4 linked regions of the Struthio camelus genome follow. The protein of the gene in region 2 purifies or fractionates together with the protein of the main gene of each other region. This does not show direct contact. Links are inferred from orthologs where the notes say so. Each region holds a gene or a part of one and is shown on either strand. Other genes may lie near its edges.

Evidence for each region.
Region 1: the proteins of DCAF7 (region 2) and SOWAHC purify together in Homo sapiens (affinity purification with mass spectrometry; 4 studies listed by BioGRID and IntAct, counting the BioPlex papers as one, with this or other methods). This does not show direct contact. The link is inferred for Struthio camelus from reciprocal best matches to the Homo sapiens genes DCAF7 and SOWAHC.
Region 3: the proteins of DCAF7 (region 2) and PFDN5 purify together in Homo sapiens (affinity purification with mass spectrometry; 3 studies listed by BioGRID and IntAct, with this or other methods). This does not show direct contact. The link is inferred for Struthio camelus from reciprocal best matches to the Homo sapiens genes DCAF7 and PFDN5.
Region 4: the proteins of DCAF7 (region 2) and CCT8 purify together in Homo sapiens (affinity purification with mass spectrometry; 3 studies listed by BioGRID and IntAct, with this or other methods). This does not show direct contact. The link is inferred for Struthio camelus from reciprocal best matches to the Homo sapiens genes DCAF7 and CCT8.

The regions. Positions count from the first base shown.
Region 1 is NC_090942.1:155,922,966-155,929,841, reverse strand, and holds the start of SOWAHC (ankyrin repeat domain-containing protein SOWAHC), read right to left. Parts: upstream 3,015-6,876; 5' UTR 2,916-3,014; coding exon 1,395-2,915; 3' UTR 1-1,394. Other genes in the region: SEPTIN10 (septin-10), read left to right, coding at 3,452-3,556.
Region 2 is NC_090966.1:4,188,546-4,195,796, forward strand, and holds the start of DCAF7 (DDB1- and CUL4-associated factor 7), read left to right. Parts: upstream 1-4,245; 5' UTR 4,246-4,345; coding exon 4,346-4,483; intron 4,484-7,251. Other genes in the region: KCNH6 (potassium voltage-gated channel subfamily H member 6), read left to right, coding at 526-724, 1,107-1,394. UniProt on the Homo sapiens protein: Involved in craniofacial development. Acts upstream of the EDN1 pathway and is required for formation of the upper jaw equivalent, the palatoquadrate. The activity required for EDN1 pathway function differs between the first and second arches.
Region 3 is NC_090969.1:1,548,837-1,556,723, forward strand, and holds PFDN5 (prefoldin subunit 5), read right to left. Parts: upstream 3,013-7,887; 5' UTR 2,911-3,012; coding exon 2,839-2,910; intron 2,061-2,838; coding exon 1,958-2,060; intron 1,519-1,957; coding exon 1,487-1,518; intron 1,021-1,486; coding exon 946-1,020; intron 818-945; coding exon 712-817; intron 616-711; coding exon 536-615; 3' UTR 287-535; downstream 1-286. Other genes in the region: ESPL1 (separin), read right to left, coding at 3,955-4,156, 4,336-4,500, 4,616-4,699, 4,795-4,907, 5,041-5,145, 5,220-5,390, 5,526-5,681, 5,786-5,908 and 5 more. UniProt on the Homo sapiens protein: Binds specifically to cytosolic chaperonin (c-CPN) and transfers target proteins to it. Binds to nascent polypeptide chain and promotes folding in an environment in which there are many competing pathways for nonnative proteins.
Region 4 is NC_090942.1:118,857,809-118,865,824, forward strand, and holds the start of CCT8 (T-complex protein 1 subunit theta), read right to left. Parts: upstream 3,011-8,016; 5' UTR 2,767-3,010; coding exon 2,707-2,766; intron 1,306-2,706; coding exon 1,215-1,305; intron 616-1,214; coding exon 536-615; intron 1-535. UniProt on the Homo sapiens protein: Component of the chaperonin-containing T-complex (TRiC), a molecular chaperone complex that assists the folding of actin, tubulin and other proteins upon ATP hydrolysis.

The sequences.
Region 1 (6,876 bases), on a different chromosome or scaffold from region 2:
ATTGCTAATTGCTATCTTTAAAGCAGAGAAGCAAGATTCAGGTCTGGTGAAATCTTTAGCAGACAGATAGGCTCATCAATCAGATTAAGACTTACTAGGCTGTTAAACAGCAGATCAAAGCCCTGGTGGTTCCTTCTCTAGAAATACAGGTTTAAAAGAACTCAAACACTGTTGCCATCATTAACTAGAACGTATCTTATACTGCTTTTGCTCCGCAACCTAACAGACAGCGATAGAGTTTCAGAGTTCTACTTATGTACCTTGCCCCTCCCGCTCCCCGTCTTTTGGGTTTTTCTGCACAAAGCTGTAGGAATTGGAACACAAGTTGCTAGCGAACACAGGCCTGCGCTATTGCATTACAGGACCTTATTAGAGCTTCATGAAGGTTTCATGCAATAGCTTCTGGGCTCTTCACTAAAACAGAATGACTTTCACACGTACCACATACAATGCAATTTTCTGGTTTTAAATGCAGTGAGCTATACAAACAACATTAGCAAGAACTGACCAGACTTCAGTAACTCAAACTGTGCTAGGTCTGGCACTTGAGAATTCACAGTGATCAAAATAAAATTGCTTTGCCTACGACAAAACATAAGATACGAAATATATAAAAAGATTCTTTGCTCTACATTATCTTGTATTAGTATTCCAACAGTGATAAGCAAGTTCAGTAGTACCTCAGACAGCAGAGACTTCTGCACGTTTAACTCCATTCATTGTTTGCAGTGCTTTTTTTTTTTTTTTTTTTTTTAATGTATGTGATGTCAAATTAGGCAATTTTCAATGCATAAAGTCAATACAGGTTCAAGTCTTTGCTGGACTGGAGCTAAGACTCCGACAGGAAACCATTTATCTACAGTCTCCTTTTGGGTACCCAACTCTGCACTGTGCCAGGTGGTATTGCTGTTAGAAAGAGACTTAAAGTATACTTGCATACTACTGAGGTGTTCTTAAATAGCCAGCTGTTCACAAGTAGTTTATAGTACCAGCTGATAACGTAAGAACAGAGCATTTGCATTTTTCTTTCCCCCACTCAACTCGCTAATCCTAGATTTACTAACACTGGCTTCTGATGGAGAAGTTTGCCCTTAGAGAGAAAGCAGCACAGCTTTTAAACACCCCAGCGTTTCTCAATGCACCCACTGCCCCTTGTTTCAGCACCAAGGCCATAATCGAAGCAGCTGCTTTCTTGGGCGTTGTGAGCCACCACAGCCCTGCCGGCCTGTTGAACTCACTGAAACCCCAGAGTTAAAGCAAGAGTCTCAGGACCTATCTCCTGAGAGCACATAAGTCTAGAGGAGCACCCGCTCGTACCTGCCCCACCTCCCACACTACACCTTAGGGTGCTCTGGCCCCTGAGCCCACCTCCCACACCTCCGGCTCCTCCTGCCTTATCCAAAAACGTTGGACTTCGGCCTGAGCTTGAATGACACTTTCGGGGACTTCTCCTCCTGCTCTTCCTCCTCGGCGTCACCGCGGAAGGAGGGCGTGTTGTGGATGATCTGAGTCCTGAAGCGGATCTTATTAAGCCGAGGCTTCATCCGCCCACTGCCGGAGGCTTTCCTGGTCATCTCCTTGCCCTTGCCCGACACCGCCGCCCCTTCGGTGCCCTCGGCCTCCTCCCCTGTGCTGTGGTGGTGGTGGTGATGGTGGTGGGAGAGCCGGTAGCTCATGAGGTTGGAGGGTAACACCTTGGAGAGCCTCCAGCGGCCGCTCCCGTTGCCAGCCGCCCCTTCCTCCTCTTCCTCGTCCTCCTCGTCCAGGGCCCCCACGAGGCTCCGCATGTCCCCCGGGGTGCCCTGGCGCAGGTACTGGGCGGCCTTGCGCCCGCTGTAGTCGCGGATGTCCACGTCGGCGTCGTAGGCGCCCACCAGGAGCTTCACCACCTCGGTGCGGCCGTGCATGGCGGCGAGGTGCAGCGCCGTGTACCCGCCGCTGGTGCGGGCGTTGATGTCCACGGGCAGCCGGTGCCGCTGGGCGAAGTTGACCAGCATGGCCAGCAGCTCCTGCCGCCCGTGCTTGGCGGCCCAGTGCAGCACCGTGAAGCCGGTGACGAAGTCCCGCTTGCAGAGCAGCGCCGGCTCGCAGCTCAGCAGCCCTTCCAGGCTCTCCCACCGCCCGTCCGAGGCCGAGAGCATCCAGGCGTGCTCCAGCGGGTCCAGCGCCACCGCGCCCGCGCCGCCGCCCCCTCCCTCCTCCTCGGCCGACGACGAGGCCACCGAGGCGCTGTCCGACTCGCCGCCGCGGGCCCCCCGCGGCCCGCCGCGCTTCAGCTGCGGCGAGCCGCCCCGCGCCAGCTCCCGCAGGCTCCGGCAGCCGCCCCGCGGCGTGGCCGCGCCCGGGCACCCCCCCGCCTCCGCCGCCGCCGCCGCCTCCTCCTCGGCCGGCGGCCGCCCCGGGCCCGCCACCGCCGCCGCCGCTACCGCCGCCGCCTCCTCGCCGCCGCGCCCGGCCGGCGGCCCCCGCCGCGAGCTCCTTCGCCGCCCGCCGCCCGCCGCCGGCCGGGTCGCCTCGCCCCGCGGCGCCGCCGGCTGAGGGCGGCTGCCGGCATCGCCGCCCGGCGGCGGCGGCGGCGGCTCCTCAGCGGGGGAGGGCGGCGGGCTCGGCCGCTCCGCGCTGCCCCCCGCCGCCGCCGCCGCCGCCGCCTCCGCGGGGGTCACGGCGCCGGCGGCGGGCTCCGGCGGGCAGTACCGGCGGCGGAGCTGCACGTACTTGACGCCGGTGCCGGGCTCCTGGCGCACGGTGGCCACGGCGTTGACGAGCTCCTTGAAGCGGTGGCGGGCGGCGGCGCGGCGGCCGGGCTCCGGGGGGCTGAGCCAGCCCCGGAAATGCTCCAGCAGCTCCGCGTTGCGCGCCCGCCCGCCCCGCGCCGCCAGGAACTGCACCACCGACTCTTGGCGCAGCTCCGCCATCACCGCCCCATGCCGCCGCCGCCGCCGGGGCTCAGGGCGCCGCGGAGTTGTTGCTGCTGCTGCCGCTGCTGCCGCCGCCCGGGCTCCTCCCCGCCGCCTCCTCCTCACGGCGGTGCCGACATGCCCCGTCCCCGCGGCTCAATCACGGCCGCGGCGGCAGCGGGACGCGCCCCGCCCGTTCGGCGAGGACCCGGCGCCCCCGTGCGGCGAGGGGTGGGGTGGGGGGGGGGGACGCGGCCGCACGTCCCGCCCCGCCCCCTCGCGGCGGGAGATCGTTTGAGTCAGGCGGCGCCGGCGCCGACCCTTCCCTCCTCCCCCCCCCCCCGCGCCCCCAAACCGCGTGAGACCGAAGCGGCCCCGCCCGTTCGGGAGTCGCCCGCCCGTTCCGTTAGCCCCGCCCCTCCGTCCCGCCCCCTCCCCGTTGGCCCCGCCCCCGACACCTCCTCTTGGCCCCGCCCCGGCCGGCGCCGCCGTTCCCGCGCTGGCAGGGGAGCCGCCGCGGCCGCGCTGCCCTGCCCCGGGGAAGGCCCCGCTCGATGTCAGCTCGCCCCGGGCTTCCCCCCCACCCGCGCACCTCCTTGTCGCCCCCCCGCCCGTTCCCTCCCGGGGCTATGGCCGCCTCCCACGTCGCTCGGCCGCCGGTAAGTTGCCTCCGTGGTATGAAAAGGCGGAGGGGGCGCAGCGGAGAACTTTCTCGTCCGTTAACCGGCTGCCCGTCCCCACCCCTCCCCCCTCGCGCCCCCCTCAGGGCGCGCGACGCCGGCAGCTCCCGCCGCCCTCGGCCCGGGCTTCCCTCTGCGCCGGGCTGCCGCCCCCCGCCAAGGGGTCACGGGCCGCCCCGCGCCGCTGCTCGTCCCTGCCCAGCGGCCCAGCTCCCTGGCAGAAACAAATTGGGGGTGGGGGAGGGGGAAAGGGCGTCTAAGGGTAACGCCACCCGCGCCCGCTTCAGAAAGTTGGGTGCAGTGATGTAGGGTGCAGGTAGGTGACGGCTTAGGGCCTGAGCAGGGTCGCTTGTTCTGGGTTTTCTCCGCGCTGGTAGTGCCGCTCAGCTATGGCGGAGCGCGGCTTTTAGCTATCGGCTCTTACGCCTTGACGACTCGGGACTAATCAGTACACTAGCTCAGATCACTCTTTCTTTGAACATGAGGAAGAAAAAAAGATTAGTTTAGGACTTAACTAAGTTTTGTGCCGTGCTGTGCACCTTGCTAATGTGAAGAACAGAAGGGTTCCAGGAATAACATGGAGTGTGGGAATTTGTTTTCTTCAGCTGAAAAATCTCCACTCTGGCTGTATAGCTAGCTATTTTTGCATGTCTGGTAATGGGAAGATAGATAAAGTACCTGTCTCTGGTGATTCTTGGCTTGTTCCTGCCCCTCTGCTGCTCCCTCAGTTCTAACATTAAGGCCATATGTGGAGATGGCCAGTGAACTGCCAACATGAAAAACAACAATTACGCTTGTAAAGTTGTCTTTTGTTGAAGTAATTTTCATCTGGGTCAGTTCTGTGGTGTGGTTCAGTATGGCACTGCTCAGGGAGCAGTGTGGGAACAGAAACAAAAGACGGGAACAGGGATTGCTTTTAGTTCTGTTGCTGAAAGAAATAATTGTTCAGTTATTGTTAGAGCCTTCGTAGGGCTGAACCATGTTCCGGCTAACCTTGGGCAGAAGAATGAAAGGACTTCATTCATGTTCTCCCACTTGCTCAAAACTTCACTGCTGAGCAGAGATTGTTTTCTGTCAGAGCTCTGTTTTGCAGACGCTCTTTTTATGAATCCTTTGTAGTTGCTGTATGATGTAGTGTAATGCATTAGCTTCATATAAGCTTTCTCTCTCTCCATACATATATATAGGTAGGAAGTGGAGAGTCAGTATTTCACAGGCTAGCTCTCGCAGGAGGCAGGAAAAATATGAAAAGAAAAAGTCTTAAAAGCTGAAGTATAAGAAACGTCACAAAATGTTTTTACTGATTTATGTTTGCATGAAGAGAGTGGAAGAGATGCAATAAATCAACAAAAGTGAGTGAGAGTGGAACTGAGGGTCCGCTACACTTAACACATCTGGCAAGGGAAGTGAGAGTAGCGTGCAGATGAAGAGCTTTACAGAGGACAGTACTACAGAAATAGAGATAAAACGTGGTTCTGTATTGGAGGAGGCTGGATTTGTAATATGTTTATAAGTAATGAAGAGTGACATCAAATAATATTTCCTAGTTTAAGAAATGCTGTATAATTGTTAAAGTGTTTCTTTACTGTATTCTGGGAAGGATTTTCTTTTCAGTTGTTTCTAAAGTGAAATGTAAAATCACTTTCAGAATGCAGCCGACCTGATTTGATAAATCTGTTTACAATTGGACCACACAAAGTCTGAGATGCAAGCATTTAGTACTTCTGATTTTTGAAGATTTGACTTCTGGGAGAGTTCTGGCAGCCACTGCCCCTGTACAACAAGCATACAATGCTTGTTATTGACTGATTAAAAAGGAGAAAAAAATCCTTGCTGTAGTCAAAGAGGCATTCTGGTAGCAACTGCCATGCTAGCATCAGACACCAGCATTGCTTTCTCGTTCAGACAAGGAAAGTCCACATAAGGGGGTTGGTGTGGTCTAGAGCATTGCCTCTTGTGGAGAAGTCTAAATTACTACTTTCTATGAAACAGACTGCTAAAGCTGCAAGAATCCAAGCTGAGCCAGCACTGACCAAGAAGTACAAATCTTCTGAAAGTAACAGCAATTATGCTATCTGGGCTGATACCCATGCAAGTATTTCTCTGTGCCAAGGTCATCTCAGAGGGCAGCATCAGATTTCACTTTCTTTATTTGCATTATCATTTTCTCTTTTCCTTCCTTGAAATTACTCAGGTCAAGAGAGGCCTTTCTCTGTAGACCCCAAACCGCGCACGTTTTCCTTCAGTGTTAGCAATGGCTGATCAGTCCCATCTAAACCAGCATGACTGAATGTTTTGTTCTGTATTTGACTTCTGTGTATTGTTTTTTATTTTATAGAATACACTCATAAGTATTAATTCCATGTAACTGGTTCTATATTTCCATTCTTACCCTGCATCTTCATGGACTTTTATTTCTTCGTGTTCTTTCTACCTCATTCTCCTATATTTTCTATTCCCTTTCTTCTGTGTTATTTTGCCAAGATTTCCTTTCTGTTCCCTCTACTCATCCCCTTCTGTTCTCTCTCTCTCTCATACGTATATCTATATAGATAGGTCTCAATGGAATTCAGACATATACTCATGCATCTGTGTTTAATATTTTGACCACTTCAAAAGGGAAAATATTTTCCTGTTCACTTCCAGAACCTGTTTAGTCTCCTACTTTGCTCACGCGTTAAGGGTAACATTTACATTTACTGGATTAAATGCCACTTTGGTTATCTGGAAAGTAGTTGATTGTAGCAGGAGGAATGCAGAATATTGCAATTTGCTATTGCAAAGTTAAAATAGATTTTCTCTTTTAACAAATGTCTATACCTGTTCATTACAGTTGAAATCAGTGCTCTGAAAGAGTCCCCTTTGGAGCGCTCATGCGTATGTTATATGTTGTCTTCTGCCCCTGTGGCTCGTTCTCAGACATCCTTCAAACAGCCTGTGTGCAGCCTACGTAGCATTGTAGGCTTGGCAGGGCCTTCACTGGCTGGGTATGCAGAGGAACACCTACTTTTTTTTCCCCTTAAGCTCCAGAGGGCACGTTTCATCTATCTCTACAAGCAGACTTGCAAGCTAATTATTTGCCTGGACTGCAAGTCTAGTTCTACAGGAGCCTGAAGTAGACGGACTTGTGTAGTCTGAGGCCTGGCTTTTGCTGTGGAATTGCCCAGCGTTGTACCATTTTTGTCTGAAACGTGGCAAATTTGAAAGATGATTATTTTTGTTTTGTTTTTGAAAGAAAAAATAATTTTTAAACGTTACTGGTGTCTCAAGCAATGATTTTTCTTTGCATACTCCACTCT
Region 2 (7,251 bases):
GATTGCACTCCTTGGGGAAGTGGTAAGAGCGCTTTGCAAATATAGCAGCTGCTTGAACTGCAAGTCTTGGCCTGACTGTGGCCTAGCACCTTATCCATTGCTGTCCCACCACCTCTGGGCACAGCTGCTTTGCTGCTGCCTCCAGTCTTGATGCAATCACAGACATGAAACCACCCAGAGGCTCATGACCTGAGCCCTTTGCAGGGCTCCTCTTCCTGTTGCAAAGAGCTGCAAATCTCCTCTTGCTTGAGCAAACGAGGCCTGTGCAGATCATTGCCCTCTAAACAAGAAAAGGGACACATTTCCGGATGAGAAGGAAGCACCACCCACACCAGAGATGCAGGTTTAAAGGCCCCGGGCAGCACCCACGCTGCTGCCTCTCAGGTCTTGCTCTCCTGCACAGGGGTTTTACCCACATCATCCAAATGCCACTTACCTCCTCGGGGTGTGGAGCAGCCAAATCTGTCTGTTCGGTGCTGCACCAGTGAGATGCACTGTCTTAACGCCGGGTTGCTCTGTCCCCAGGCTGGAGTCCAGGATGTCGTCAGACATTAATATAATCCTCCAGCTCCTGCAGCGCCAGCTGTCCCAAGTGCCACCAGCGTACAGCCCCATCTCGCCGTCCTCCCACAACCTGGCCATGTACGGCATAGTCCCGCGGAGCCTGGAGCCGCTCACCCCCTGCGCACCCCTAGAGGAAGAGGAGCGGACAGCCCCAGGGCAGGTAAGGCCACCACTCCTAGCTCAGCACCAGCGGAGCCTTCTTCCACCTCCAGTAGACAGGTCCACGCAGTGCCAGTGTTTCTCTCCAGCCTTCCTATACACAAAGCGCAGCCAGGCTCAAGGGCCCAAGCAAAGCCCAGGGGTCTTGAAAAAGCAGCACATCTACCTGGAGATGCTTCTGCACAATGCACTGCTGGTTTCAGGGGCATCTCCAGCATGAGCAGGCTGCCCAGTCAATGGGGAGGGGAGTGGGTTCCTCTGCTCTGAGGTCCCCTCAGGGAAAAAAGATATTTTGGGGTTTGGAGCCTCATGGGGTGAGGAGAGACTGGGGCTACATCGTTTTGCTTTTGCCATAACCGACTTGATTCCTCCTTTCCCCCCAGAGCCCGAGCTACACAGAGGTAGATAAGTTCCACTTGAAATCCAGGGAGTCCTTGTCAAGCGGAATACACCTGACTGTGGCATCTGACGAAACCATGACGATCTACTCCGAGCAGGAGCACCATTCCCCAATTCTCCCGCACCCAGAGCCTCCTCACCAAAGGGCACCAAATACCCAGGGACTCTGCCGGGGCTCTCGCTTCCCTTCCCTTCCTGAGCACTTGGAGGCATCTTCAGAGCACCAGGACATTCAGAGACACCTCTCCGACCCTGTGCTTCCTGGAAGTTAGAGCTGTGGCGGCTGCAAAGCGAGTCAAGAGGAACCTCAACTGCGAACTCATTCAGTTGATGTTGACGTTGACTGCCAGGGTAAGATGGAGGACAATGCCTTTGGCTCAGGGGTATAATTTGTAGCTGTCTTCTGCCACCGTGAAAGGAAGCATAGAGTGGCTGGCTTCCAAGATCAACATTTTCCAGTGGATCCCATAGAGTAGATTTCATTTGCACATTATAGCGAACCCAGAACAGTTCTTTCCTGTGGCCATCAACAAGCTGGGTAAGCCAAACAGCACCCACCTCCTCTTCCTTGCCAAGGCTTCCTCCCAAGAATAGTGCAAGCCAAATGAGCCACAGCAACCGGAGGAGGGCAAATCCACAGAGCTTAGCTGCGAGGCCACTTTGCTGTCAGCTCTTTGGAGCAGGGACCATTGTGTTGGCGCTGGGCTTAGCCCAGCAGAGCCTGAAGGCACTGGCTTTACAGAAAGGGTAGTCACCAGAGGAGGAGGAGAACTGCACAGTGCAGTACTGGGGGGAGCTACAGGGGTGAAGCCCAGGACAAGGACAGAGGACAGAAGCCATTCCTGTCCTACCTGACTGCCACTGAGAAACTAAGGGCCGACAACCCCCACCACTCCAGCACGCTTCAGCACGAGTCCTAGGGCACTGACTTCTCCAGCAAGGCTGGTTGCACTTTGCAAACCCCAACATGCGTATCCCACAACTCCCCAGATGAATCCAACTGTTCACTGGCCTGGGCATAAAGCACAAAACTCAAAAGCACAATCCCAGAAAGCCGAAACGCCCCACACATCTCATGTCCAGCCTTTCCTCCTAGCTTTTCTCTTTTGATAAAAGTTTGATAGATGCTTCCTCTTCCCTAGACCTTTCCCAGCAGACTCCTGCAGCATCCCTTATAGGAGAAGCCCACTTAGCACTGCCACCTTGCCGTTCGGTTAGACGCTGTAACAGTCCTAGGCCGCCTGCTCAAGTAATATATTGAGCTCCCTTTGAGAGTAGTAAAACTGTGAGCATCTCTTTCTCCGGAGTTTTAGTGTACACTTTGCTAATAAAGATGTTTTTGGCACCTAATGTGGATTGCAGCGTGTTTGTTGGGAGCATCAGCAAATTCATCCCTGGCAGTAGCTTCAGGGTCCAGGTCCTCGTCTGTAAAGACCCTTGAGAAGATCGTGGTCAAACCCCAGATGCTTCTGCCAGGGACTATGGTGCTAACGGAGCCCATGAGCAGATCTTACAGATCAAGGATGAGGTCTGCTGGGTGTTTGCTGAACAATTTCTTCCCAACAGGATGCAGTTTGGTCTCAGCAGCTCTTTGCAAAAGCTTTTTTACAAGACCAGCCAGCTACTATTCCCCTGCATAGGTGAAACGATCTAGCAAACACACCTCAGGTAGTGATTACGCCAAGAGTCCTTAGAGCAAGCGGGATGTCAGATGACCATACTGATACCAGAACCCGCTCTACATCCCTTGCTAAAGGAGACACAGCTCTGGGTCCTGTCCAAACTCAATGGCTCCATAAGGAGAGCTGAGCCCAGGTTCACCCATAACTGATCCCTTCTGCTCCCAGCTGAGCCCTCCTGCCTTGGAGAGCCGGGGACTTCAGAGGGCGCAGGGCAGGCACAGCACAGGGACCAGAGCGGCTCAGACTGGGGTGCCCTGAGAGGGGGGCTCCGGGGAGCACCAGCACTGGGCTCGCATGCTCCAAAAATGCCAGGAGCACCCTCCTCCTCCAGGCAGGCCCTCGCGAGGCACTGCCAGCCCTCCCCTGCCCTCCAGCCCATCTGGCTCCACACGGCTGAGTGGGGGGCTGCCCTCAGGCCCTGGCTCCACGCCCAGCTCCAGCAAAGCAGCTATTTATACCCGGCGCCAGCTCAGGTTTCCGCTCCCCATGGCGGGGACGCCGCATCCCCGCACCGTGCCGCCTCTCCTGCTCAGCCCAGAGAGCTGGGGAGCCCCAAGGCCCTCAAGGGACCTGCATGAGCACCTCAGGAGCAACTGTACCCGCATCGGGTCCCCGGGGCAGCCGCGACAGAGCCAAATAGCTGCCCGGCCTGGGCTGCCACGGCTCCTCGGCCCGCAGGCCCAGGGGCTCACGCCAGGCGCGCTGGGCCGCAGCCTGTCCCCGTCCAGCCAGGAGCTGCCTGGGAAGCCCGCACAGGCTCCTTCCCCAGGTAAGGCTCAGGGAATTGCTCCAAGGCTGTTAAGTGCTACCAACAATAAAATCCGATAATTAAGCTTCGGTTAATTATAGATAAACGCAACCCTGTCAGGCACTCGGCGGAGGCGGGGCTCGAACCGTTAACCCCAGCGCGCGCCTGAAGTGCTCCACCGCCTCCAACTCACGTGACTGACACCTCTTCCTGCCAATCCGTTATCAGTAAGGTCTCAAGACCCCGCCTCATGCCACTGCGACCCCTAGCAGCCAATGGGATTTCAAGAACGAGTATGGCCTCCGTCTGGGGTGGGATCAAACGCAACGGTAGGTTACCTCACTCAAGGGGGCTAGCGTCCGTTTGGAATGATGGGTAAAACGACCAATAGAAAGCCAAAGAGGGCCAAACGGACGGGAGAATTACCCAATAGCTGCTCGAGAAGCTAAGTGACAGGCCAGGCAGCCAAGCCGTGTGCAAGGGGCGGGGCTCCCCGCGTGGCTTCCGCTCCCGTTGTGTGAGGGACCGAATCCCAAACGGCCTCCGCGCCGCTCTCGCCGTCGCCGGGTTTGGAGCCGGGCCCGGGGGCGCGGTGCCGTGCTGCGGCCTCGCCCCGCTCGCTGCCGCCTCGCCTCGCCCGGCCCGGCCCGGCCCGGCCCGGCCCGGCCCGCGCTGCGCCGCGCCCGCTGCCGCCTCGTCCGGCCCCGCTGCCCTCCGGCGGGCCCCGCGGCCCAGCCCGGGGCTCCCCCGCTTCTCCTCCTCCTCCGGGGCCCGCGGCCACCGCTGCCTCGCCATGTCGCTACACGGGAAGCGGAAGGAGATCTACAAATACGAGGCGCCCTGGACCGTGTACGCCATGAACTGGAGCGTCCGGCCGGACAAGCGGTTCCGCCTGGCGCTGGGCAGCTTCGTGGAGGAGTATAACAACAAGGTGGGCGGCGCCGGGGCAGGAGCGCGGCCCGCTCCCTTCCCCCCCACCCCCGGGACAGCGGGGCCCCCGCACCCGGCACGGCCCCACCGGGGGTACCCTGAGGGGGGGGGCTGCGCGGCGCCGTCAGCCCCTCGGCGGGCTGCAGCAGCGCGGGGGGCCGGGCCGCTCAGGCTGCTGCAGGCCGAGGGGCTGGGGCCGGGGAGAGCAGCGCGGGGGCTGCTCCTCGGCGAGGAAGAGCTCCTAGGTACAGCGTACAGGGCTTCTGCGCAGGGCGCTGCAAAGTTTTACGGCAGGGCTCGAGTTTGTGCTTGTGCGGGCTGCGTAAGGCTTTGCTGGAAGCGTTATGCCCTACTTGTCTTTTAGTGCTGTGGAGGACTTGTGCGCAGTAACTTTCTTTCTTTTTTTTTAATATATAAACTCTTTTTGTTGATCCTTTAGTTCCTTGCCCCCTCTCTGGGGGCAAGAATGTCCTGAGGCATAAGATTATATCCTCACTATTTCCCTGCCAGGTATAAGCAAGGGACCTAACACTGATAGTACAAGCCATGTCATCACCTCTTCAAATACATGCCCAGTCCTTTTCTGGACAGACTCTAGTGTGCTGAACTGATGCAGTGAATGCATACAGTTGGAGGAGAAATAAAGAAACAGCCATACCTATAGAGCGTAATAAACTTGTGTGAAACTGAAGAGTTTGTAAGTACAACTTTGTACGTAGCCTGTGTGTCTTGCAGCTTTGCCAAGCTGTTTAATAGGATTGCGGAAAATGATATTGGAAAAGTTGGTGTTGGGAATGGGGCTTTGTGCAAGGCTGTAATGAGATGAGGTGACCGTACGGCTGGAGTGGACATCTCTTGCAGTAGTTAGCTTACTGCTTTTGCAGTACTCTAAGCAGTGATACTTGTACCGAGCGCTTTGTATCGTAGTCCGATTACTGGCTGAACGTGAGTTGTCTCCTCATGTGTGTGAGTGTTGTTGTGGTTCTGGGGAAAGGCAGGTCACTGGTCTTGAAAACTTTCTATTTGTTTAGAGACTAACTTTAAAATGCTTTGTGTAGCATGTACTGTGAGAACCTAAAATAACAAATGCAAGCAATATTTTGTTTAGAAGTGGTAGAGTTCATTAATAAGCAGGTATAGTTCTGTGCTGTCTGCGGACAGGTAACAGAGTGAAGCTTTATGGTGCAGAAGGGTGATTTATGTGACCTTTAACTCCTTAAGTCTGGACCGTTCCCTGGGGTTGCCCTAGATTAAGACAGGATCTGCTTTTCAGTCCAGACTTTTCAAGTGAAAAGCAGTTGAGTCAACCAGTGGCTTTTCCGCCCTTTACATTCACAGTTGTTGCAGACGGAAATTGTGTAGGACTATGTAAATTACTGCTGTCTGTAAACATTTCCCCTGGATTCTTTTGACCTCTGTGCTTCAGGGATAACTATTATCCTGTTGACTTCAGTCCCTGTAAAGTGCTGTGCACTATATAATTGTATGAGAATGAGATGCCTGTCTGGATGCTGCTGCTATAGAAACAAAGAAGATGCGTGGTTAAAAATTAAGCCTGTACAATAAATCTAGTGTAATATGACCTTCACTTTGCTGAGATGTTTTGCTATGTCTGATGCTACAGAGTGTGTATTTTTTTTTTTTTTTTGCAGTTGTGAAGTGCTTTCAAAGGTGCCCTCCAAATAGGAGGGTCATTGACAGAGAGAGCTGTCTTAGGTAAATGTAAGTGTTGTTATTGCTTAGAGTATTGTTATTGTCTCCTTTACTTGGAAGACCAGAAGGAGCTTGCTTGGGAGTAGTTTTTCAGTTGCACTGTTTTTTTGGTGACTTACTGTGACTTTTGCCACTCCTCTGAATTCTGTGGAGGACACTGAAATATTTAGGAAGGAAATGACTTCGTACTCTGGATTTTGAACTGCTGGACAGATGCTGTCTGGTCATGTCAGGGACGTGCTAGCTGCAGACTCTTTCAGCTCCAGCTTCTGTCTGTTCATGTGAGTGGTACAACCAAAGGAACAACAGGAAAGAACTGAAGTTGTCCTGTTTATGTAGTTGATACCATTGTGCTGCAAAAGATCTAGAGCTTTTGATTTTATATCCGAAGTTCAGGGATAAGCAGCTGTTTAAGACTTTCAAGGAACTTCCATTTCATTTCATCTGACTCAGCAGTCATAATCTTAGGAGGCTTCTTAGAAATGTTGTTTGGAGCTCCTATTCCTGATGTTGCAGTGTTTTGTTTGAGAAAAATTGGCTTCCTTCCTTCCCCTTAATATGTTAAAACATCAGTCTGGAAAAGCAATTCTAGCTTTCTAAAAATCTAACCCAACAGCTGAAAATACCACTTCCTTATTAATCTATTGTTTTATTTTGAAAAGGGGGTGGGGGGGGTTAAAAAGTTCTGACGCACCGAGTGTTCACTGCAGCAGAAGTGCCTGCTGTGGGGTAGTGTAGTAAATGAGAGGACAGATTCTCTAAGTTTCTATTTCTGTAATAATTACCAGAGCTTGAAGTACCCGATGGGTTACAAATATAAAATGGCTGTTTATGCCTCTGTTTTGTGGGGAATTCAAATACATTAACTGCCAAACCCTGATTTATTGCTATCTCCAATTCCCAGACTCTCTTAACACTGTCAACCCTCTCCCCACCACTAACGAGCTGTGTAGTATACCAGAAAGCTAGTTACCAACAAATGTGTGAACCCCAAGGGAGTTTTGTTTCAGCTCGTATACCTTTGCTGATGAAATCACTGGCATGTGAAGAGAGATG
Region 3 (7,887 bases), on a different chromosome or scaffold from region 2:
TGGGGGGCCGGAGGATCTTGGGAATCCCCGCTGCGAGAGCTGCGGGATCGGGAAGAGCATGATTTCCTCAGATAAGGCCGGTCTGTATCGCGTGATCTTTCGGGCTGGAGCAGGCCCCCTGTTTCGCCTGGCATGACTCCACTTTGGGAGGAGTCCCAGGTTGTTTTTCCCCCTCTTTGCGTGCCTCTCCGCCCCTGCCCAATCCTACCTCCCGCTGGCTGCAGAGGGCTGAATTCCTGCCCTTGAAACCTTCCCGGTTCGAGAAGCACCAGATGCCGCCCGGAGCTGTTCCCTGCATCTCTAATTTATTCCATACACTGGCAGCAACGCACTGCTTACAAAAAGGGAAGGGTTTGGCTGGTGCTTTGCTTCCAGGCACCGCACGTGTTTAGAGTCAACAGCAGAGCCCTGCCGAGCAGGGAGAGGAGTGTTGGGGAAGGGGGGACAAGGTGGTCTGGGCCCCAGCGGCTTTCTTCAGCAGCTCTGCTCTCGTCCCAGCAGCGATGCTGATGAAGGCAGCCCCTGAGGCCGAAGGCTACGCCTTTGTTGTCACGCCCTGCGCGGCCCCCAGGGCCGTGAGCTGCTGGATCTTCTGGCTCATCATTTCCACCACGGCTGCAGGAAGACAAGGCACCCAGGCAGTGAGGGGAGCTGCTCGGGGGCCTGCCCAGAGCGAGGAGCTGCAGCGGGGTGTGGGAGATGGGCCCTTACCCTGCTTCATGGCATGTTTCTCCTGCAGCGCAGGCTGGATCTTCTCCATCTGTTTGGTCAGGAAGTCAATCTTCCGCTTGAAAAAGTCTCGGGCATCATCTGCTGTCTGAGGGAATAAAGGATAACAGAGAGCTCTAGGCACAAAGTTCCTGCTACCCTTCGGCCACGGACAATTCTGTTTATGATCTGCTGCAGAAACGCAGCTGCTTCTGGGCCACTCCACGCACCCCTTACCTTCTCCACGTAGTAGCCTGTTCCTACATCTATCAGCACGTGCTCGACATCTGAGAGCTTCCCAGGGACATACATCTGGCGGGGGGGGGTCAAGGGAAAGCAGGGAACCAAGACAACTAGGCAGCTCTGGGAGCAAAGCACCTCAGCCCAGCAGAGCTGGGAACCGAGGCCAGGCGTCCTCGGCACAGTGGCCACCACGGACCAACGCACGACCCGAGCAGCACAGGCCCAGCATGAAGAAGCAGAGCTCGTGTCAAGAGCAACAGGGGCAAAAATCTGTCAGCCCTAAACACCCCAGCTCAGCCGCTGGCCAGAGGGAAAGGAAACATCCTGGGGTCCTTGCTCAGAGAGGAACGAGGACTGGCCAGCACCTTCCCAGGAGGCAGGGAAGGAGCAACCAGGAGAGGCCATGTCCCTCCTGAAGTGGGCACAGCCAGGTAAAACGTCCCCCAAGCCCCTCGGCCCTAGCAGTTGACATTCCCGCGTCCCCGCTAGCAAAGAAGAGTTAACTTCAGAGGACTGCAGGGCTGGCAAAGGATACAGAGCTGGTGAGCGGGACCAGCAGGTCCTTTCCTACAGGAAACAAAGCAGAAACGTGTTTGAGCGCTCGGATGCACCAGCTGATTGCCCACAGCAGGGCGAGGGGCACACAGAGCAGCTACACAGCGCCAAACAGCTAGGTACGACGTTACAACCACATCTAGCCCCTCCGTGCACCCCGCGTGCCTGGGATGCTGCTTAACGCCCAACCTCCTAGCAGGGAAGGAGGCACCACGGAAACAAGAACCTGGTCCAAGGGCATAAACTGACGCAGGGCAGAAGAAAGCGCAGAGCCTGGGCTCTCAGTCGTCACTCAAAGCACAGAGTGATGTGTCTCACCTAGGCAGCAGCCAGGACTGGCAAGGCCAGGCAGGACAACACCAGCCTCTCCAGTTGCTGCTCAGGCATCCCAGTAAGTGCCCCAGGGACCTGGCAGGGCCACGCAGGCCGAGGGTGAAGGTATCTCACTCACCTTCGTTGCTTTTGTTGAGTACATTGAGGCAGTCCTTGGCTTCCACGTACTTGGTCTGCACCACTTTGAGCTGGGCAATAGAGGACGAGAGGAACTCCACCTCCTAGGCGAGAGAGCGTGAGCCTGTGAGCGTCCCCTTACCACCAAAGAGGTGCTGAGAGAGCAGAAGAGGCCCTAATCGAGTGCCATGTACGGCAGGACAGGGCTGGGGCACGTCACCTGGTCTGGTCATCACCCCTAGGCCACCCAGCTCCCCCCCACAGCAGACCTGTGGCACAGTCTAACCTTACCCTGCCACCCCCACAGCCTAGCCCAGTCCAGTCCCACATGTCACCCCCCCAGACCACCCAGTCCAGCCCCACCATGTCACCCCCCAGCCTGGTCCAGCCCGGCCCAGTAGTCCCCACTTTGATAACCCCCAGTTCCCACAGCTCGGCCCAGTCTGGTCCCACGTGTCACCTCTCCAGTCACCCAGTCCCCATATCCCAGTCCAGCCTGACCCTATTTGGTCCCATACACCACCACCATCACCACCACCCCCGCCCCTGCAGTCCCCACAGCCTGGCCCAGTCTGGTCCCACATATCTCCCCCCAGTCCCCACACCCTAGCCCCACCTTAACGTCCCCCTGTCCCCCCAGGCTGACTCAGTCTGGTCCCATAAGTCACCCCCCAGGACCTCCAGCCTAGACCAGTCTGGTCCCACATGCGACCCCCCCAGTCCCCACAGCCCAGCACCCTCTCGCCGCCCCCTCCAGTCCCCACAGCCACATCAGGCCTCACCCCCATTTCGGCCTCTCCACCGGCCCGGCGCTCCCCCAGCCCTGTCCCCCGCCCCCAGCAGCCCCTCCAGCCGCGGAGCCCGGCTCCCGGCGCGGCCCACCTGGTCGAGCTGGCTCTTGAGCATCTCCAGCTGCGGCAGCGACAGCTCCGCCACATTCACCTGCTGCGCCATCTTGGGCCGCCCGCGACGCTCTAGCGCACGTCGCCCCGTCTCGCTGGTGCCGCCCGCCGCGACGCTCTAGCGCCAGCTGCCGCCTCTCGCTGGTGCCGCGGCGCCCCCTGGCGGCCGGCGGGGGCAACAGCCCCAGGGCAGGGGGTAGCCGGAGGGGATCATTTCCTCCCCCCCCCCCCCAAAGCAGGACAGGGGGCAGCCGGGGGGGGGTCATTCCCCCCCCCCAAAAGCAGGGAAGGAAGGAGCCAGGTTGCCCCCCCCAAGACAGGGGGGACCCAGGGGTGTTCCCCCCCCAAATAAGGATAGGCTCTATTGCAGGACCCCCACCCACTGCTCCCACCCAGGGAAAAGGGGGTTTACTGCCCCCCACCCTCCACTGGGGCTTCCAAGGTGCGAGGAAGAGGCAGGGGCTGCAGCAGCCAGGGTTGTTCCCTCTGTCCCTCACCCAGCTAGGAGGGGTGTTCCCCCCCCCCCCCAAACAAGGGAGGAGGGAAAATCCCAACTGCAGAGGCCCCAAGGAGGACAACGAGGGGTGCAGCTGCAGCAGGACCCCAAGAAGGTGCTTTGAGGTCACCCTCGGAGGGCAGAGCATGCCCCGCAAGGGACAACACAGCCCATGGGGTGGGCGATCGCTCAGAGCTGCAGTGCAACGGGCTCCTGCTTACCTGGGAGAGCTGGCTGGGGCCCGGGGAGAGGGGACAGAGGCAGAGGGAAGGGGGCAGAGCCCCACAGGGCAGCCCAGGGTGGCAGGCACCCTGAGCCTGAGCACCATCCTTAGCCAGCACACAAGGGTCAGGTCCAACTGCACCAGCTTTATTGTCTCAACATACAGCGACTGTGTCATCTAAAACCACTTTAAAATAAGTTAAGATCCAAGAACAGTTAAACATGTAACACCCCACCCCAGCTGGCCCCCTGTGCAAACACCGCAAGTTTAAAACAGCCTCAGCAGCACCTGATCATCATTGGGGGGGGGGCACAGGGAGAGAGGGGAGGGGAGGAGGGCTGGGGCCAAGAGGCAGTGGCAGAGGCAGCGCTGAGCCCTCACTGCAGGCACACAGGCAAGCCGTAGGCAACGGGGGCAGCGCCGATGAGGTACTTGAGTTTGGGAGCCTGGCGGGCCTGGGCGACAGAGTGCAGGAGCGGGGCGCCCGAGCCCGCCTTCAGCCAGCCCTGGAGCAGAGCCTCGGCGTAGCGGTCGATGTCGCGGTCCGTCACGTCCCACAGGTTGCCCAGGACGAGGGGGCTGGAAAGGAGCAAGGGGTCATGTCAGCCCCTTTGGGGTGCAGATGCGCAGGGTGGGGGGAAAACAGGACTGCTGCAGGGGCAGAGACACCCAGCTGCACGAGACGGCCCTTGTAGCAAAGGGACAAGCTGAGCTTCCCCAAGCCTCGCCCCTGCTTTCCGCATCTCCTCGCCACTCACCACCCAGCCATGATGTACTTGAGAACGATGCCAGATCCCTCCAGGCTGCCGCGCACGGCCAGGGCGGCGCTGCTGCAGCCGAAGAGCAGGGCCACGGCGCGGCACTCCAGCCTGGCGATGGACTGCCCGTCCAGGAAGCGGGCGCCTGCTCCGTGCCCGGCGTAGCTGCAGGGAGAAGGTCCAGGTGAGAGATCTGGTGAAGCCTCCCCGACCTCCCCCATCAGGCTTAAAGAGGGCCCTGGGCTGTCTCAAAGGAGCCCACGCCATCCCCAAGGCTCACATGTAGAGATCACGCTCCGAGAGCGCCGTCTGCATCTGCTCCTGGCTCGGGATGGCTCCTGTCACACCGCTCCAGCCGGGCTCGCTGCGGGAGAGACCTGGTGAGGACGGCGGAGAGCAGAGAGCCCCTGGGGCACCCCAGGCTGCAGGATCCCTGCCCGGGGCAGGGGACACGCTCACCTCTCAAACCAGCCCCGGAAACGCTCCTCGGTGCCCGGCAGGTTGTTGTGCGGGTTGAGGATGTAGAAAGTGCTGCTGGGGTTCACGCCGCGGCTCAGCACAGATCCTGCCCGCTGCCAGAGTGGGGACACGAGACAAGTCAGCCCCAGCCCGGAGCAGAACCCGCAGGGTGCCAAACCCTGCGGTGCTGCAGAGCCAGTGTGCGCAGAGCCCCGGCCCGGGGTGCACAGTCCCTGGCCCTCTCACCTTCTGCGCCAGGGAATAGCCAAGCAGGAATCGCAGGGAAGGGAGCCTGGTTACGGGCACAGCCTTCAGACACGCCATGCTCTCCCAGGGTAGCTTCTGCAGGTGCTGGGAGGAAGAGGAAGGGGTGAACAAAAGGCAGCAAGCAGCCACGCAGAGTACAGGCAGGAGCAGAGACTCACCTTATCCAGCACCAGGACAAGGGAGCCGCTGGCCTGCCTGGCGCAAGCTCTCCGCTTCTCCAGGGCTTCCTGCAAGAGGAGCTGGGCCGTGTAGGGCTGAGCTGGGCAGAGCCCAAAGGCCAGGGACTGCAAATCTTGGGCAGTGAGGAGGGGAGAGGAGTTCAGCACAACCTACAGGAAGGAAGAGGGGAGCAGAAATGCATAAACATTGACAGCACCATGCTGTAGGCTGGCACGTGATGCCAGGCTGTTTGGCTGCCCAAACTGCTGCCCCAGCCCAGGCCAACTAGGATCTCCAACACAAACCTTGAGGAGCGCTGCATCTGCGTCCTCCCAACCACATTTCTGGAGCTGGTTGCACAAGCTGGAAGCCTCCTCTGCCAGGCTGGGCTCCTGGCTGGCAGGGAGCAGGGCCCCCTTCCAACAGCCCAACACCTGCATCTCCAGGGTTTCGATGAGGTTCTGCAAGAGGCCAGAGTCACGGGGGGTCTGGGCATGGCAGCCCTCTTCAAAAGCTGTGCCAGGTGCCACCAGGCAGATCAGGGTGAGGGAAGTCTCTCCCCAACCTTCATTCTCTGGTCCAGCTCCGAGCGACACAGCCACCAGTCCCTCTTGTCCGTGCAGTTGCTGGATTCCTTCTGCTCCTTCTGAATGGCATCGAACTCGCTCAGCACCGAGCTCAGCGGGGCCTGGAAGAGGAAGGGAACAGTGATCCCAGCCCCAAACTCACCCTGCAGCTGGGCTTGTCCCCTCTCCCTTTCCTGCCCTCACCTTGGTGAGCGCAGTCGGGATCCGGATGGTCACAGGAGCGCTGCCCTTCTCCAGCCGTGTGAGCAGCAGCATGTCTCCCACGGAGGCAGGCTGGAGGCTCACCAGGGTCAGCACGCACACGGTCACCCCTGGGAACCAGACCCAGACCTCAGGAACAGCCAGGGGACAGTCCCAAGGCCACACAGCCCTCCAGGACTCAGCCCCAGACCGACACAGAGCAGTGAGCTTCCCAGCCCTTGCTTTTGGATGAGCCCTTACCACTGGGGATGTTCTCCAGCTGCTCCCTGAAGCCATCCTGCTCCTGAGGCCCCATCCCCGTGGAGCTGAACTCGAAGAGGTCTTGGAGCTGAGCGAGGTGGTGGCTGCGCACAGCAGCGCTCTCCTCCCGCAAGGAGAGCCCGTGGAGCTGCTCGGCTACGTCTGCTGCTGACTTCTTGGCTTTGCTGGAGAGGGAAAGACAGTCAGGGAATAAATCCACTTTGAAATTACCTTTGCTGGGGCTCCAAAGTTTTTGGCAGAGACCCCCCTCCTGCTCAGCAGTGCTCTAAGGTTAAAAGCAGGGGAGGCCGAGGGGGTTTTGTTCCACAAAGCCAGCCAGGGAGGGTGGAGGGACTTACTGAAGTTTCCTGTGGACCGTGCTGAGCAGCTGATGGCGGGTGGTGACCGAGACAGACTCCGACACCAGGTAGGCAGTGGAGATGGGGTCCTGCTTGCCCAGGGACAGGGCCAGGAGCTGGCAGACTTGGCTGTAGAGGGCACTGGGAGGGCAGTGGCTGATGCAGTTGAAAGCACCTTTCAGGAATTCACAGGCTTTGTCCAGGGAAGAGACATCTGGAAGGGGCAAAGCAGCAAATCCCCCCCAAGGCAGAGGTGAGCTCCTGACAGAGAGCAGAGCACCTGAACCCTTTGGCAAAGCTCAAAGCAATGGGAAATTGTAAGAGGAGGTGGAGAAGGGCTAGAGCAGAGGTTTCCAGAGCCGCCTGCCCGAGGAGCTGGTAGGAGAGGGGACAAACGTGGATTCCCCAGCACAGCCACGAGCCCCCAGCCCAAAACCAGTGCCCTGCACAGCAACAGCCCACAGAGCAGCCCCTCAGCATCGGTCGCTCACCGCCAGCCGTGGACAGGGAGGAGGAGAGGGCCTCCAGGTGCAGGGGGCCCCCGCTGCCAAGCCTCCGTATGGCCAGGATGTCCTCACTGGCGTCTCGCCGCAGGACCTCACGCTCCCCGTCTGCGCTCTCCTGCCCACGCTGGGGCTGCCGTCTCCTGCCTTAAGGGAGAGCAAGAGGGGCCTGGTGGCAGGGACAGCCCAGGGCCTTGGATATCTCCACCTCCAGACAGCTGCTGGGGTAGCTTGAAGGCTCCCTGCTGATTATCCCCCCCACTCCCAGGCAGCCTTGCTCACCTGGGACTCCCTCTTCTTCCTCAGAGGCCCGCAAAACCTCAAAGCTAATCTCAAGCTCTTCTTCCACCTTCTCCTCTTCCTCAATGGTCCTCAGAAGTTCCCGCTCCTCCTCTGCTCTCCTGCCAGGAGCCCTGCGGGTTGTTCGCTCTCTTTTCTCCTCTGTGCCCCCAGCTCTGCGGGAGCCCGCTCGCGCTCTCCGGGGCTGGGCATTGCTGCTCCGGGAGCTGTCCTCCGACGAGCTCGTCTGGGACCCCTCTGTGTCAGCAGCCGTGGCTTTGGGGCGCAGGGCTCTCCGGGTGCGGCCTGTTGGCTGGGGAGTCTTGTGGCTGGGGCCTGGGGTTTTGCCAGCTGCTGGGGTCACCCCCAGTTTGGGATCCTCCACGTCACTGTCATCACTGAACGTTACCTAGACCAGAAGGAGACGTCAGGGCTACAGCCTTGCTCCCCAGCCTGCCGACACCTTTTCAGTGCTGTCCCCAGAGCAGAGACTGAGCT
Region 4 (8,016 bases), on a different chromosome or scaffold from region 2:
AGTAAAATATTTTTGTGCAGTGAGACAGGTATTATGATAGTAAGAGAAAAGTCAGGACAGGTCAGTTTCTCCATAGATCTTGTATCACTTAATTCACAAAAGGACGCTGCTACAGCTCCATGCCATACTACCATATACCATACTCCTCCTGTCAGCTTAGAACATGGTAGTTGAATATGGCAAGTACCAGTATAAGGCAATTAACAGCTACTTCATCCAGCGTTTTCAAAACCTTGTATTGTTTAGATATAGCCTTCTCTAAATCTAGGGTGGTTTGAGAGAATAAAGGAGGCAATTACTAAGCATCTGCAACTGCTTAGTGCTGCTTTACAGAAGAAGCCCGTTTCTCACCTGGAGATAGCCCAATTACTTTACACCCTCAAATCCAGTGAAAACTTAAATGATTTACAAAGTGACAGACATCATCAGGCAGGCTGACACAAATTTCCTTAACAACATTCAGAACTGTAGTGGCCCATGCTAAGAGAAATACTAGTTCAGCATGACCGAAATCTTCCAAAAAGAGAAAACTTACCTCCAGCTCTCTCAAGATAGTGGCAGCATCATTTGTAACAAAAAGCTTCTCCAGGTGGTTGATAACCATTTTGTTCATTCCTAAGAGAGAGGAAAACAAAAATCATTTGTAAGCTGTGTGTGGTTTTTACAGATACTGTTTCTTAAGCAGAAGATTTTAGGTATATTTTATGCATTAAAATGTTATAACTTTGTAGGAACACCTAAAAGATATTTAGGTTTGGGAGTGTTACATGAGGAAGAAATCATTTTCATGCCTGAATGAACAGTTCTCTCTTCAGAAATGCTCGTACGTTATGTAATTAAATAATATTGGGACTATCTTTTGTTTAGGTACGCTTGTCAGAACACGGTACGGTTATGTTCATTATAACTATCTACCTAGTTACTGTCTTTCCTTTAATTTTGTAGGTCTTCAGCAGAGCAGTAAGACAACAAAAAGGATACAGTAACTGTACAAAAACAGAGAAAAGTAAATATACTACAAAAAAAACTTAAGAGTTAACTAAACAAAATCTGTAATCTTTATATCCAAAAAAGCTGCATTTTGAACTCAGCAGTGAGTTCGATGTGTTTCTTCAGGAAACTAATAAACAGCTGCTTCTTCATCCAAGTAAGATTAGCCTTTGAACATTATCATTTTTCACCAAAACATTACAGTGACGTTTGGATTTATTTACCATTTGGTCCATAAGCTGTACGGGTGGTTTGAGCAAGTTCTTTGCATGCCTGGATGTTCCTGTAAACAGCTTCTTCAAGTCCTGAATAATGCTAAAAAGGAAAACGTTACCAGCTTGGAAAGGGGCAAGGTTTTGTGAACGTAGTGTTTCATCATATGCTTTTTATTCACACCTCTGCATTCCACAGAGATAAAACTGTGCTCTGTATTCAAACATACATGCATGACTTGAAAAATCACAATGATTCAGAAAATATCTGTGATTGCTCAGCTTCCATTTGGAAGCCTTTTGAAAAGGAGGGATGCCTAGAAGACCTTCAGAAGACCTACAAAGCTCGGAACACTCTTCTCTGTGCCCTCCTTCAGAGGGCACAGAAAAGTATAGGCAGGTATTCTGCAAATGCAAAGCATCTCAGGGGGCCAAGTGCTTCCTTGTTTTGTGAAATACAGCTCCTGTTGTTCTGCCCTTGTACCTTACATCAAAGGACCAGCATTGGCGCTATTCTGCTTCCCTGCCCCGACCCCCACCCCTCTGAAATATGCTACTCCCTGTCTCCAGAAAAGATCTTGGAAAACAAATATAGGGCTTCCTGAGTTGCCTAATCTCCCCTTCCATGCGTTTAAACGTCTGCAGTCGTAAGTTTCTTTCCCCTCCTCCCGAAAAAATAAGTTTTGGGTGTTTTTTCTTTTTCTACCAGCTTTCTCAAACTAGGCTTCTGCTCTATCAGGCACGGTCCTTGATGACTGTCAAAATCTGTGTTTATTAAATTCGTTCAGTATTAAGTGTAACTATACAGAAAACACTTGGTTATTTCGCAGTACCTGCTTAGAGCTAAAGCAACAGAAAACAATCAAAGAATATATACGGTAAGCAGTCAGGCCACTTCGGAACTGCTCCAGCTATAGGGCCCGGCTGCACTGCACTGCCCACCGTCCGCAAACACTCTCCGTAACAAAACGCCCTCCCGCACTCATTCTCAAAACGAAGGCAGGCCGCGAGCGCTTCGCCGGGAAGAGTCAGCGCCGCTGGCGAGCCGAGAGTAGGGGCGGCCAGGAAGCGGCCCCGGGCGCCCCACGCGTGAGGCGGGAGGGCGCGGACGGAGCGGCCCCGCGGGCGGCGAGAGGCAGCGCCCGCGCCACCCCGGGCACGGAGGGCCCCCCCCCCCACCGCGGGCGAGGCGGCCTCGGCGAAGGGGGCGATCACGTCCAGTCCCCCGTTCCCCACCCCCCCCCGCCCCGGGCAGAGCCTTCTGGAAGCCCGCGTGCGCCAGGCACCGCCCCCCTGCCCCCTTCTCCCTCCAGGCCCCGCGCAGAGCGGCGCAGCGGGGCCGGGGCCGGCAGCGGCAAGGCGGGCAGCGGCAGGCCGCCCCGCCCGCCGAGCGCGTGGGCCGCCAGGCCCGGATGGCCTTCCAGAAGCTTCCCCGCGCCACCTCACCGCCGCGAAAGGGGTGCCGGGGCGGGCGGCAGCAGCGTCCGCCCGGCGCCGCTCTCACCTTCGCCCCTTCCTTGAGCATCTGGGCGAAGCCCGGGGCCTTGGGGACGTGCAGCGCCATCTCGCACCGCTTAACGCTCCGCTCCGTTCCGCTCCGGCCGGCCACCCACCACCGCGCGCCAGGGACGACGGGAGAGCGGGCCGCCGTGCGCGTGCGCGCGCACGCGCGCGAGGGGGGGGGAAGTGGGGCGGGGCGGGGCGGGGCGGGGCGTGGTGGCGCGCGGGTAGCCGTTGGGTCCCCTAACGGCCGCGGCAGGCGTTGGCAGGCGGCGGCCGGTTGCCGCTTTGCCGGGTGGAGGCCTTCGGGCGTGCGGACGCTGTGGCGGAGCCCGTGCCTCTCGGCCGGGAGGGCCTCCTCCAATCCGGGTCTCGGAAACCAGCAGCTAGTCCGAGCCCTTTCATTCCTCACGGTGCAGCCTAAGCAAGTCAGAAGCCCGCTTCGCTGAAAGCCTTACGCTCAGATAAGACCTCTGAGTTTCCAAGAGAGGATATAGCATTATGGAAGGGGTAACGTTTAGATACTTCTATATTATGAGATGGCGGGCTTTTCCTATGGCTTTGTATTTTGCTTTATGTAAATGAAACCAAACAGGATGGCACATCTGACTTCTACAGTGTTTAAACTGACTTACACTTATGTCATTTTATTTAAAAAGAAAAGACCTCCAAATCATACCTTTCTGAAGCAGGTCAGATACACTTTCTTCATTCATTGTACTGTTGGTACACTCACTACCTCTGTTTATAAAAGGCCCCGAGTAATGGTGTTTTTTCCCTAAGGAACATTGTCCATGTAGTGAAGTGATAGTACTGTTGTGGTGGTGGCGGCTCGTGTTGGCTCCTTCAGAACCTTTCTCTCACTGTCTAGTTTAGCATCTTGCCTCTTGGGCGTGTCTCTGAGTACATTTAGTGATACACAGTCCAGAAAGGGAGTTAAGCGCCATCATAACCACTGATGGCAATAGCCAGTCATAAAACTTTGCACACTCCAATCTAGTATTTGGCCTAATGCATACGTGACTTGTTTCAAAAGGGCAACAAATGTTCTGATAGGAAGAGCGAGTGCAGTCAGCTCTCCATTATCCAGGGTAATGCCAAGTAATTATGTACTACAGGACAAGCTGAAGAGTAGTTTGGAGGCACACCTCAACATCTCTACAGGCAGCTTAGGTCCAAGCAAGATTAGCTGTAGTCTAGCGCTGGAATAGCTCTTTACGTTGCTTCCTGATGCCTTTATTTCTGAGGCAGGGGAGCTGCTTCTGTAGGGAGTTGCTTTAGGTTCGATAAACCTTTTGGTTCTGTGGCACACAAAATCAAATACGCTTTTTCAAGATGAGAGCTTCCAAAGCTCTAGAAGTGATACCGCTGTGCTTAGGCCACGCTATATCTGAGCCTGTAACCCAACAGAGACTGAGTTGCTCCACATCTGCAGCATTGATAGACCACCTAAAGATCAAGGAACTGCTTGATAAGCATGTATGTTATTGATTAAGCGACCTCCAGAGGAAACACTCGATTTAGTTTTGCATCCTATAATGCTTAGAATTCAGCCAGCTTTAACCTGTAACATATCATGGCAGTGTGAAAAAAAAGTGATGTTGGAAAGCAAACTATACATAAAGCACCCAGGATTATACATTGACAAATCTGTACGCAGTTCTGCCACAAGCACACAGGGGCAGATGACATTTGAAGCAGAGGTGGGAACCTCTTCAGCCCTGACTACTGTGACTACAAAGTCTGGGCACTGCAAAAGGAGGTGCTCGGGCTTGGGATAAGGGGCATAACACCGTTTATTACTCTGCACCACAGTGCAGATGAGGAACAAGAAAATGCCTGTCCTATTCTAGAGCCAAGGAGTAGTTTCTTGTAAAGCAAGTTCTGGAATCTGTTCTTAGCCATGGAGCTCAGAGAATGGACTCCTAAGTCGATGCAGAAGACTTTTCATAGTCAGGAGCATGGGGCCCGGGTGCTACATCAGTAACCGAGTGCATTCTGGTTACAGGCATTCATTGTAGGGGAGAGAGAGGAAACATGGTTCAGTGGTTAAACTGCTGATCATTACCTGCAGGATGGGTTTCAGTTCTCTCCTTTATGACTAATAGCCTGCATGATGTCAGGCAAGTTTCTAGGGATTCATCAACACTTAAAAGTTTTGTCATTTTTTTGCCATACATTTCTCATTCTCTGTGCTGTTACTGGATGTAGCTGCCTCATTATTGTGGAACTTACATGAGTACATTTTTTTTTCCAGATAGGAAACAGAATGGTTAAGTGATAAAATAGTTCTTAGAAATTTTGCCAACTTCAGCCAGGAAGTCCATGGCTCTTTCCCTTTAGGATCCTATCTACACACGACATCATTTGTAGGTGGAATGCCAAACTGGGCTTCAGCTGTGATGCCCAAAATAGTATTGTTTTGTATTAAAAAAAATTCTGAGCTCGTTCGTATACACGGGTGTTATTTTCCTGACTTGGTTTTCACCAAGCCAAAAAACAGAAGAATCAAGGCAATGGTATGTAGGTTGTTAAAGAAATAGGCTTTTACTGTTAAAAAACATTTCTCAATTTTGGGTCCGTTATAATGTCTCTGTAACAAGAGAGGCTGAGTATTTATCTTTTAAGAATTTCTGAAATCTGTTTTTAGATTTTTCAGGGAAAGCTTCTCCAAAGCACTCATTTTCAGTACCTTAGTACTGAAAGTAGTACAGGCCATAGTCAGTAGCTTAGTAAATGTTAGCTTACCAATTAAACCCAACGTTATTACTGCTTGGCAGTGTGGAATTTTAACCTTGTGAGCATTCATCCTTACTCAAAAGGTGACCATCCCTTTCTAATTCATCAGTAATTTAAATGATGTTTTTCCATTAGTCTCTCAAGTGATTATATATGGTGAATGTAGCTTGTCTAGTGTTGGAACTAGAGCAAAAAACAAAGTCAGCTCATGCAAGCCAATAATAGCATTGCAGCATTGCATGATGTTTCTTCTAGGTCATCAGTGACTTTAGCACCACTAAAGTAAGCAACTTGAGGGTGAAAGACTTATTCAGCGCTTCAGTTATCCAGTTCACTCCAATTTAGACATCTTTTGTTTGGAGGAGTTAAATGACCCGGTGTTTGTGTAACTCATAATATTGCAGATTCATAAAGGAAGTGAGTGGTTTTCAATAATTCCACACTCCAGTTCCAGTATTGTAAGCCAGGACAGCTTCCAGAAAAGCAGTCCCATCTCTGGCTGCTCATTCTCACCTCTGCATTCCCCTTCCTCTCCCCTCAGATCCTCTTGTGCTAAACAGCTGCGCACCCATACAGTAAACCAGATTAGGGAATTGATCTTACATTAAAACTGAGCCAAAAGAGGCCTGGTCACCTTTCAGCTTCCTCACCGCATGGCTGTGCAAAGACTTGTGCCGGCACAAGGACGGATGAAGAGAGGCAGGGAAGCAACCTCTTTCTGTGGCAGTGCTGTCTTATGCTATCTTAAAATATTTTTGGAACTGCCTGTATATACAATACCTTCAGTGAAGCTTATGCCAGCTACGTTTTTTTTAAGCCAGAAGCTCACTGAAGCTAGAGTGTATATGTTTGTCTGTGCATGATTATAAATACATGCATACATACATATCTATATGAATATATCACTAAAAACATCTCTGTTTCTGTTCTAATCAGGAGCTATTTGGGAGTGGATGTCTAATCATGACTTTGTCTTGGCCTTGATCTTTTTTTAGCTACTCATCTACTCTGTTTATATTCTGTACAGATATTGCCATGCTAAAGGACCATCCAAAGGTCAGAGGTTTGGCTGTTGGCAGTTGGCTGCCCTTTCACCAGCCAAAATCTATTACTGTACAAATGGAAATCCCCAGCTTATCTTTAGGCACATGTTTGTCAAATTCTGGGATGGTAAAATTTAAACAATTTTGAGACGTTTATGCAGAGGATAGAATGTTAAAGGGCTTAGTTTCTAGTTGGTTATTTAGCAGTGGGAACCTGAGCAATTGAAAAATAAGAGATAAAACGTGTCCGGTGAAAGTATAATATCTAACTGTGCTCGTCAAACAATACTGGTATTTGGCCAATGAAAAATGTGAGTGGCATATTGAGAGAAGCCTGAGGATCACACCTGGTTTGCATAGAATGCTATTAATACCAGAAACACAGAAGTGTGAACCTCATAGGGTTCACAGGGCTTAGAATTCAAGATGAACATAAATCTCTTAGTAACAGCAGAAGTAGTTGCATCTGCCTGTCCCAAATTGTGCTTATCTCCCTTGTGACATAATGAGAAGGAGAAATCTAGTCAACCTATGAGTACTTCTTAGGTCATTGGTCCACAGCGCCTGGCTAAAATGTTGCTCATGTCCTGGACTTAGCTTGCTTGATAGTGCAGATGATTCCAAGCTAGACAGGAACGCTAGATTTTGATACTATGTGTGTATTCCTACCTCAGTACATGTATTTTCTGCTATAGCTAATCCAGTTAGCTTAGGTCACTGGAAAGCACTTCAGGAGTTTTTAGAGGAGTATTACTCTTGCATGGGATCAATAGATGAAATCGTTTGAAAATGTCGACTTAAATTAAAACAGTATTGATAGTCTCCAGCTGATCTACTTCACAAGTGCCAACAGTTCAGAGGTTACTCTGAACAGACAAGATTGGAAAGGATGATAGGCTCGGAATGGAAGTGATGCCTTTTTGCTTTTGTGTTGCAGGTCCAATCAAGATACAAAATCATGCTGTGACAACAGGGCAATACATGCCAAAATACAATTGAAGCGCATCTGTGTCGTGAGAGAAAGCAAAATTATTGAGATCTTTCTGGTTTCATCTCATAAGAAGGCAAGCTTAACTGGGTAAAAATGACAATATGTCTTCTAGATTGTGGGTTCTGTTTTGCATGAGGAGTTCAAATTCCATGGTCAGATAAGGCCTAGAAAAACATCTCTCTTTAGTATCCAGTGTGCTCCTATGGGAACTTTTTCCAGTGGCGTACACAGCAGCCTGGAAATGCAAGCCAGCTGCTGTTATAAATTTGGATATTCTTATTGGAGTTGGGAAGAATTTATCAGGACTTCATGGATGTGTGGAAACTCAGAGAACATCAAGCTGAGGAGTGGGGAAAATGTTCAGACACTTTAGGCTGCACTTGCAAAAGAAAGGAAATACTGGAATAGGATGGCATGCTGGGGACTGAATAGCTAAAGACTTCTGCAGAAATGGCACCAAGCTGAAGTCATAAGGAGCAAAGGAAATGACAGCTATCTGCAGTCTCCTGGAAGTAAGCTGCTACTCACCTGATTAGGATTT